2 linked regions of the Mytilus edulis genome follow. The main gene of each other region encodes a partner of the protein of the gene in region 2 in a complex. Links are inferred from orthologs where the notes say so. Each region holds a gene or a part of one and is shown on either strand. Other genes may lie near its edges. The genes, in order: exosome complex component RRP41-like and exosome complex component RRP4-like.

Evidence for each region.
Region 1: exosome complex component RRP4-like (region 2) and exosome complex component RRP41-like share a complex: the UniProt entries of both Caenorhabditis elegans proteins name them as parts of the RNA exosome complex. The link is inferred for Mytilus edulis from reciprocal best matches to the Caenorhabditis elegans genes exos-2 and exos-4.1.

Annotation. Positions count from the first base shown.
Region 1 is NC_092351.1:28,690,926-28,694,856, forward strand, and holds exosome complex component RRP41-like, read left to right. Parts: upstream 1-967; 5' UTR 968-1,022; coding exon 1,023-1,110; intron 1,111-3,196; coding exon 3,197-3,852; 3' UTR 3,853-3,874; downstream 3,875-3,931. Other genes in the region: general transcription factor 3C polypeptide 4-like, read right to left, coding at 782-895. UniProt on the Caenorhabditis elegans protein: Non-catalytic component of the RNA exosome complex which has 3'->5' exoribonuclease activity and participates in a multitude of cellular RNA processing and degradation events.
Region 2 is NC_092345.1:3,686,601-3,690,531, reverse strand, and holds the start of exosome complex component RRP4-like, read left to right. Parts: upstream 1-1,610; 5' UTR 1,611-1,737; coding exon 1,738-1,853; intron 1,854-2,897; coding exon 2,898-2,999; intron 3,000-3,704; coding exon 3,705-3,840; intron 3,841-3,931. Other genes in the region: uncharacterized protein, read right to left, coding at 1,462-1,533. UniProt on the Caenorhabditis elegans protein: Non-catalytic component of the RNA exosome complex which has 3'->5' exoribonuclease activity and participates in a multitude of cellular RNA processing and degradation events. Involved in regulation of antisense ribosomal siRNA production.

The sequences.
Region 1 (3,931 bases), on a different chromosome or scaffold from region 2:
TAATACCTTTAGCCATGCTGGTGATCAGAAGAGGGAAGATCAAAATTTATTTGAAAACAGTTTTTAAAGAATTATGAACAAATTAGATTTTCGAAAACAATTTTCACGGAACACTTATTTATGATTTCAACTTTGACTTTTCACCTAATTCCAATATCAAGTTTAAAAACAACAGACCATGGTTAGTTAGTCGGATAAAACAACCGTACGATTGACAAGATATCGACACGCAATTACGACTACATCGGTTACTGTAGTTTTGTTTCTTTGTGGTTTATAGACATATCGTTTCATTAATCGGGAAAGAAGGACAAAATGGCGGAACGCAGAGAATTAATACCCTTAATTTAAAATCGATGGTGATCGCTTATCTAGCGGAATAAAACTTTAATATCTATGAATTTGAGCATTTTTATACAGAATGAACATAATATCAATTTTTGATTTTTTTACGAAGTTTCCCTTTAATACATTTCTATATATATGGTCTTTTTTTTCAAAAATATTCATTATACATGTAATCTCATAAATTCGTATATAATTTTAATAATATATATAAAGTGTTTTTTTATTAAAGTAAAAAAATAACAATCTACTAATCGTAGTCCGAGTTCGTTCAATATATTTCTGCATATAAATAATGGTAGGCCGAGTTTGTTATAGTCCGAGTTTGTTATAGGCCGATTTTGTTTTAGTCCGAGTTATCCAGCAGCGGACTCGCACTATAACTGTATAAGTCTTTAACCAAGAAAGAATATAAACATTTACTGAGACAATTTACCAAAAGTAAAACTCCATTATCTGTAGCAATTGCTACTGTGCCATCTTCCGACCAATCTAGAGCATTATAACTAGATATTTCGTGAGGAAAAAGAATTTTATCCCCTCCCGCCATCTTGAGGAGAAGTCCGAGTTCGAAATGATAGGTCTTTATTGATTGGATAATATCTCGATCTTAACCAATCAACGCTTCTTTTACAATTGTCGAGTTCAATTTCCATGCCGTTGTAAATATTGGGAGCATGGCAGGAGTGAATCTTTTGTCAGATCAAGGCTATAGAATAGATGGCAGAAAACCAAATGAATTAAGACGGATCCAGTGCAAATTAGGTTATTGATTTGTAATTTGACGCACTTCGTTTTGGATACACGAATCACTAGTCCGAGATTACTCTGACGTCCAACGGCTGTTTTCCCAGCTTGTCTGGCAAAACAGCCGTTGGACGTCAGAGTAATCTCGGACTTACGAATCACAAGAGGCCTTTAAATTCTCCATGTCATGTTTTTTTTTTAGAAGTTACGCCCCTTTGAAATTATTTGCTTCAATTCACCTCTGCAACAGTTTGTCATCACAACTTCTCTGAAACTACACAACAGAATTTCATGAACCTTTGTAGATAATAAGGACATACTATGCAGATGTGCATATCGACTGGAAATTATGATTCAATTTTTTTTCTTCAGTTACATTATTTTATTTCTGTTGGGACGTGGGGTATCTGAGCGCGCTCACTAAGGTTCTTTGAATTATTCAATTTTCTTCTGTCTGTATCTGTATCTGTATGTGTACGTTGAAGATACCAATTCTGGCTTTTACTCAACGGGAGAGAGAGACACCTATTGGCGGTGTTGGAGAGCAGCCTTGAAGCTCTCAACTGTATCTGCGCATACAATACGATCCTCTAGTTGGTTCCAATGTAGTACACTCTTGACGAAGAATGAGTTCTTATAGGGATCGGTGTTGCTTGGAATAGTATCTAGTGCCTTAGAATTGTTCTTTACTGAATTTGTCACTATATTGGCACATACAAAATTGTCAAATGTTTTAGGTTTGATTTTCCTCTTGGGTTTACTTTTAACAAGAAAATCGTCGGGATTAATAGCTGGGACCAACCCCTCAACCACTTTGTACAGAAATACTAGCCGTTGACTTGTTCTTCTTGTTTGTAGGTTGTCTAGTTCTAACTCGGCTAGCATTTTGGTGACCGACCCCTCTTCTCTAGACCTATAGTCGCCTGTGATGAATCTAGCTGCTCTGCGTTGTATTCTTTCCAATTGATTTATATCATGTTGTGTATATGGGTCCCATATTATGGCACCATATTCCATAGTTGATCGTACTAATGATATATATGCGGTCTTATTGCAATCTTTTGGGCAGAAGCGTAGATTTCTTCTTAGAAAGCCGAGTGTCGAATTGGCTTTCTTGGCAACGTTTGAGATGTGCGTGGTCCATTTTAGGTCTTCTGATATTTGTAAGCCTAGATATGGGTTGTGTTGGACTTGTTGTAGTACATGTCTGTCTAGGCTGTACATCTTCTGGCTTTTATTCTTAATGCTAAGTATATAGCACTTCTTTGCATTGAAGCGCATGCCCCAGTTTGTGGCCCATACTTCTAGGTTTTGGAGGTCTCGTTGTAGGAGTGTGTGGTCATGTTGACTATTTATGTTCCTGTACAGGAGGCAGTCATCTGCGAAAAGTCTGACAGATGATTGTACTGAATCTGGAAGGTCGTTTATGTGGCAGAGGAAGAGAAGGGGTCCTAGTACTGTACCTTGTGGTACACCGGAGTCAACTGAAGCTTCTTCTGATTCCTCCCCATCTACGACAGCTTTCATTTTCCTTTGGGTTAGGAACATCTCCAACCATTTGTTTAGTGGTCCTCTTATACCGTATTCGTTCATTTTGTGCAGTAGTTTGTTGTGCGGCACAGTGTCAAATGCTTTGGAGAAGTCCAGTATAGCTACATCAATTTGTTTTCCTGCGTCGAAGGCTTTCATGAAGTCGTGTAGTGTGACTAGCAGTTGGGTTTCACAGGAATAGCCTGACCTGAAGCCATGGTTCGTCATTCGTCATGCAGGGTACCCCATTCCTACCCTCATGTACATTTTGATTTAAATTATGTAACAAGACCCAAGTATGCCTGAATTAGACTTTTAGTTCATTTTAAAGGCCAACCTAGGCTTATAATTTTGAGGACAATAAGCTTGTGAATAATTCTTAAACTACAGGTATCACTTATCCTTTTGAAGACAAGAAAATGACAATAACAAAAAACAAAACATAAAATAAAAAGATCAAACGATAAAGTGTTATTATGAAAGTTGGTTGTAGTTGGAAGTTTAAGGACTTCATAACTTGTATATCATTATTTCATTGTAGTTAGCATAACAATTTTTTCTCTCTTTCCTTCAGGTGTATTCAAGCAGGCAGATGGATCAGCATACATTGAACAAGGAAATACAAAAGTGCTGGCCACAGTCTATGGTCCACATGAAATCAGAGGGAGCAGAGCAAAGCTGTTACTTGACAGAGTATTGGTTAACTGTCAATACAGCATGGCTACATTTAGTACTGGGGAGAGGAAACGTCGACCAAGAGGTGACAGAAAATCACAAGAAATGACAATGCATTTAAAACAAACATTTGATGCAGCAATTATGACAAATTTATATCCACGATCACAGATTGACATTTTTGTTGAAGTTCTCCAATCGGATGGTGGAAATTACTGTGCTAGTGTAAATGGGGCTACTCTTGCTCTGATCGATGCTGGTATTCCAATGAAAGACTTTGTTTGTGCTTGTTCAGCAAGTTTTGTAAATGATAATCCTATTGCTGATATAAACTATCTTGAAGAATCTTCAGGTGGACCTGAATTAATTGTTGCAACACTACCAAAATCTGACCAGATAGTTTTTCTTGAACAGAACTCGAGGCTCCATGAGGACAATCTGAGTAAAGTTATTGACTTAGCAGTGAAAAGTTGTAAAGATGTTTACACTGTCTTAGACCAAACAGTCAGGGATCATGTTAGTGAATTGTCTAATTCACATGGATGGGATCATTAAAATAAATTGCTTCATCAAAAAATGTCTCCTTTACTGGCTGGTATTTGTGTGTTTCAGATTTGTTATATTGTTGGGTCGG
Region 2 (3,931 bases):
ATACAATGTAATTACAAACACAGGTCAAAGTACAGCCTTTTACACAGGGCTTTGATACAGAACAAACAGCAAGCTATAAAGGACCCCAAAATTATTACATGTAGCGTACACAATTCGAACAGGAAAATCAACGATCTAATTTATATATCCAAACGAAAAAATACCAATGATCAACATCAACAAACGATAACTGCTGAACGACATGCTCCTGAATCAATCAGGACAGGTGCATAAACATGCAGCGGCTATGGATAGTTTTGTTTCGCGAGCATACAATATAATTGCAGTTGAAGGCAAATCCTTCAGAAGTTCTTTGTACTTTATTCTAACAACGAACATCTTTTGATAGGGAATATAAGTAAGGGGGAAAGAAACCAATTTTTTGTTCTTCACGGAAATACCCGCTGTTATAACTTTTTATCGGAGCACTCCAGGTTTCATGCTGAAACAAATATTCTCACAGATATTTACACAGTGTGGTGGGGTGCTTTTATGTTTAAAATCATTATATACAGGTTACACTGTGATTTAACAAATGTTGATATCTTTTTATAATATTTACAAAAAAAAAACGGTGCGGGAAATGGACATGATTACAATTCCGGATGCGGGAAGCGGGAATATAAAAAAAATAAAAAAATTCTGTTTTGAAAAAAATAGGTGCTGGCGGGTCCGTCGAACAAGGGATCAAATTGGTGTGGCCTTATAACCCGGTTACATTTTTCGCAATAATTAAAACATTGAAATAGTGCTTGCCCTAAGTCAGGAGCCTTTAATTCAGTGGTTGACATTTGTTGTTGTGTAACCTCTTAGCTTTTTCGCTATTTTTTTGTGAATAAATTAGGTTGTTTGTTTTCATGTTTGCATTGTTTTACATTTGTCACTTCGAGTGTCCCATTTCTCAAGTACTTTTAATTTTATTGCCGACTATGCAGTATGGGCTAATCTAGTCCAAATAAATATGAAGTCTGACAAGGCTATTTAAATTTAATCCTGGGACGCCTTCCTACGACCGAAGCATTGCCAGACGTCTTAATTATTTGGACTAGGGCTAATCCTATACACCTTTATTGCTATTTGTCCGCCATTGCTGGAAATCACACAGGTTCCCGTAAAAATTTGACGTCATAAAACAAAATATCTGACGCCACAATGGAAAAGTGATTGTTGTTGACGTCAAAAGTTCAAGCGGCCGGCCGGGTCAGCCGGGATTAGCGATAAGGTGTATTGTTGAAGGCCCTACTCACTAGCCTACTGTAACCTATGTTGTTATTTTTTGTGTCATTTGGCATCCTGTAGTGAGTTGTGTCATTGGCAATCATGCCTCTCCTTCTTGTTTTTATATGATGCTGGGAACAGTATATCTATGTTCCTGTATGATGTAACTGTGAAAAAACTTTGTAAATGTGATTTGACAATCATGACAATTGAATGGTATTGTATAAAGTAGATTTTAATTACCTCGGGTTCATCTTGCATGAGCAGCTCCTCGAGCTTGCTAGTACGAGCTTCTGCAACTTGTTCTTCTGTCATCTTTTAATTTGATGAAATTATACAACGTGATTCTTCATTGAAAATGAAAGGTCAAATATTCCGACTAAAATTTCGATGATCCTCTGGATTTTACATAAGATTTCACGTCGTTGTCCTCAGAACGTTTGGAAGTAACCAGTTTTTAATCTTTAAAAATAAAAACATAAACGATGAGAGCTGTAAACAAACCCGCAAGGAAGCAGCATGGTTGATATTCGTGTTGTTGGAGCCAGAGATCGTCAAAAGCAAGAGTTCACAGAGGAAATATCGAACCTTGTGTGTCCAGGCGATGTCATTACTACAGATACTGGTTTCATGCGGTAGGAAATGGATGACAATATTTGAACAACATGAAATGAACATAAATTTTATTTGTCGATTATTTAAAATGAATAATTTAGAATTATTCATTTTGGCTGTCTAAATCATTTAAAAAAAATCAGTATAATCATTCCCATTTATACACCGGAAAGAGGAGAAGGCAGTATAGTTATCAATATTTCACTTCACTGTTATTGTAGTCCTAATATTGAAATTTTATAGACCTTATCGCTATTTGGAAATCTAGGCTGCGCCGCTTGACCCAAGAATCTACGCCTCTTGAACTTTTGACATCATACAAGAGAGTTATAATGGAGGTACCAGACTTAGTAACCTTCACTATAGATTATTGTAAAAATTCTTGCCAAATGTGGCTAACGGTAACTTTTGGTTCATGACAATAAAATGTACCCTTTCATTTAGACGATAAAAAATCGACTGCTTTTGAGGAATGTTATCAGGTCCGTTCCCGCTCAATACACTGTCATACCCTACACGCTTACACCTCACATGTTCGCCCCTGATTTTTGTTTGTATGTAATACAGTGATCGTCATTATGCAGGATTAACTAGAATAATGTTTGTTTTGTAAGTACTTATTAACAATTCCTTAATTACAGCAGTGCTGATTGTCAATTATTAAAATACATTTTTGGTGCAATATAACATTATAGTTTTCCCGGTCACTTGCTCAGCATTGGAACAGAAGTGACGAAGCACCTAACGTACAAATGGTGTTCACTAAAACCAGAGTTTTTGACGACAATGCATCAAACTCGAAAGTTGTCTATTTCGCGACTGGGTGACATTTTTTTCAAAATGCCAGTACCTTGTGTTATATAATCATGACAACTAAAGGTATACAGTAAAAAAAATTCTGATACAAGTGCCTGTATTGAAGGTGTATTATTATTCAGGGACATTTATAATGCGAAATTTCAGCTCTTTTTGTCTCCCTTAAAAACTTTTTAAAAAGTAACGATTTGGCCTTTATATGTACTTGAGAAATAATTATATTTTATATTTTATTGGCATAATTTCAGTGGTCATGGAACGTATATGGAGGACGAGAAACTTCATGCTTCAGTAGCCGGTGTTGTGGAGAGAGTCAACAAATTAATATGTGTAAAACCTCTTAAAACAAGGTAAACATTAGCAATTTATTGGTCAGATTATTTTCACTATTTCAACAACAGAAATAAAGAGAGGAGGAATGAATGCAAATAAGACAACTCTCTATCTAAGATTTTTTTGCTTTAAGGTGTATAATTTTTCAGGTACATGTATATTGCCCAAGTTCAGCTCTTCTTATTGTTAAAAGTAAACAATTAAAGGTCAAAGTAAGGCCTTAACACAGAGCCTTGGCTTACACCAAATTGTAGCAAGTTATATAAAGGCCCCAAAATGACTAGTGTAAAACAATTCAAACAGGAAAACCAACAATCTAATCTATATAAAAAACAAAAAACACTTATGAACCACATCAGCAAACAACAACCACTAATGAAATGTTCCTTTAATACATTGTATATCTCTATGTCAATTTTTCATTTCAAGGTACATATGTACTGTACTAAAAAAGTTTTTTGTCAGTCATGTCGAAAGAGAATAGGATGTTGTAAGCCATGTTTACAGCTATTTTTCTTAGTCATAAGAGAGTTGTTTCATTGACACTCATCTTTAATCTATAAATATGCAAAACAGTGACAGTACTGTCCCTTTGATATACAATGTTTTTCTAAGTCTATGTTACACATCATGTGTAGGTTATTTCATGCACATTAACACCTTCACCCTTGATTGGTAGGTTTATAGAAGTGGTAACACATAATTATTTTGTTAATCCATAGATATAATGGTGAAGTTGGAGATGTTGTGATTGGGAGAATTATAGAAGTGGGACAAAAGAGATGGAAAGTAGATACCAGATCAAAGTTAGATTCCATATTAATGTTGTCATCAGTTAATCTGCCAGGAGGAGAACTTGTAAGAATCATTTGTCCTTTTAAATTACTAATATAAAAATAAGTTCAATGATGTGATATGACTGCTAATGAGACAACTCTCTACAAAGTTC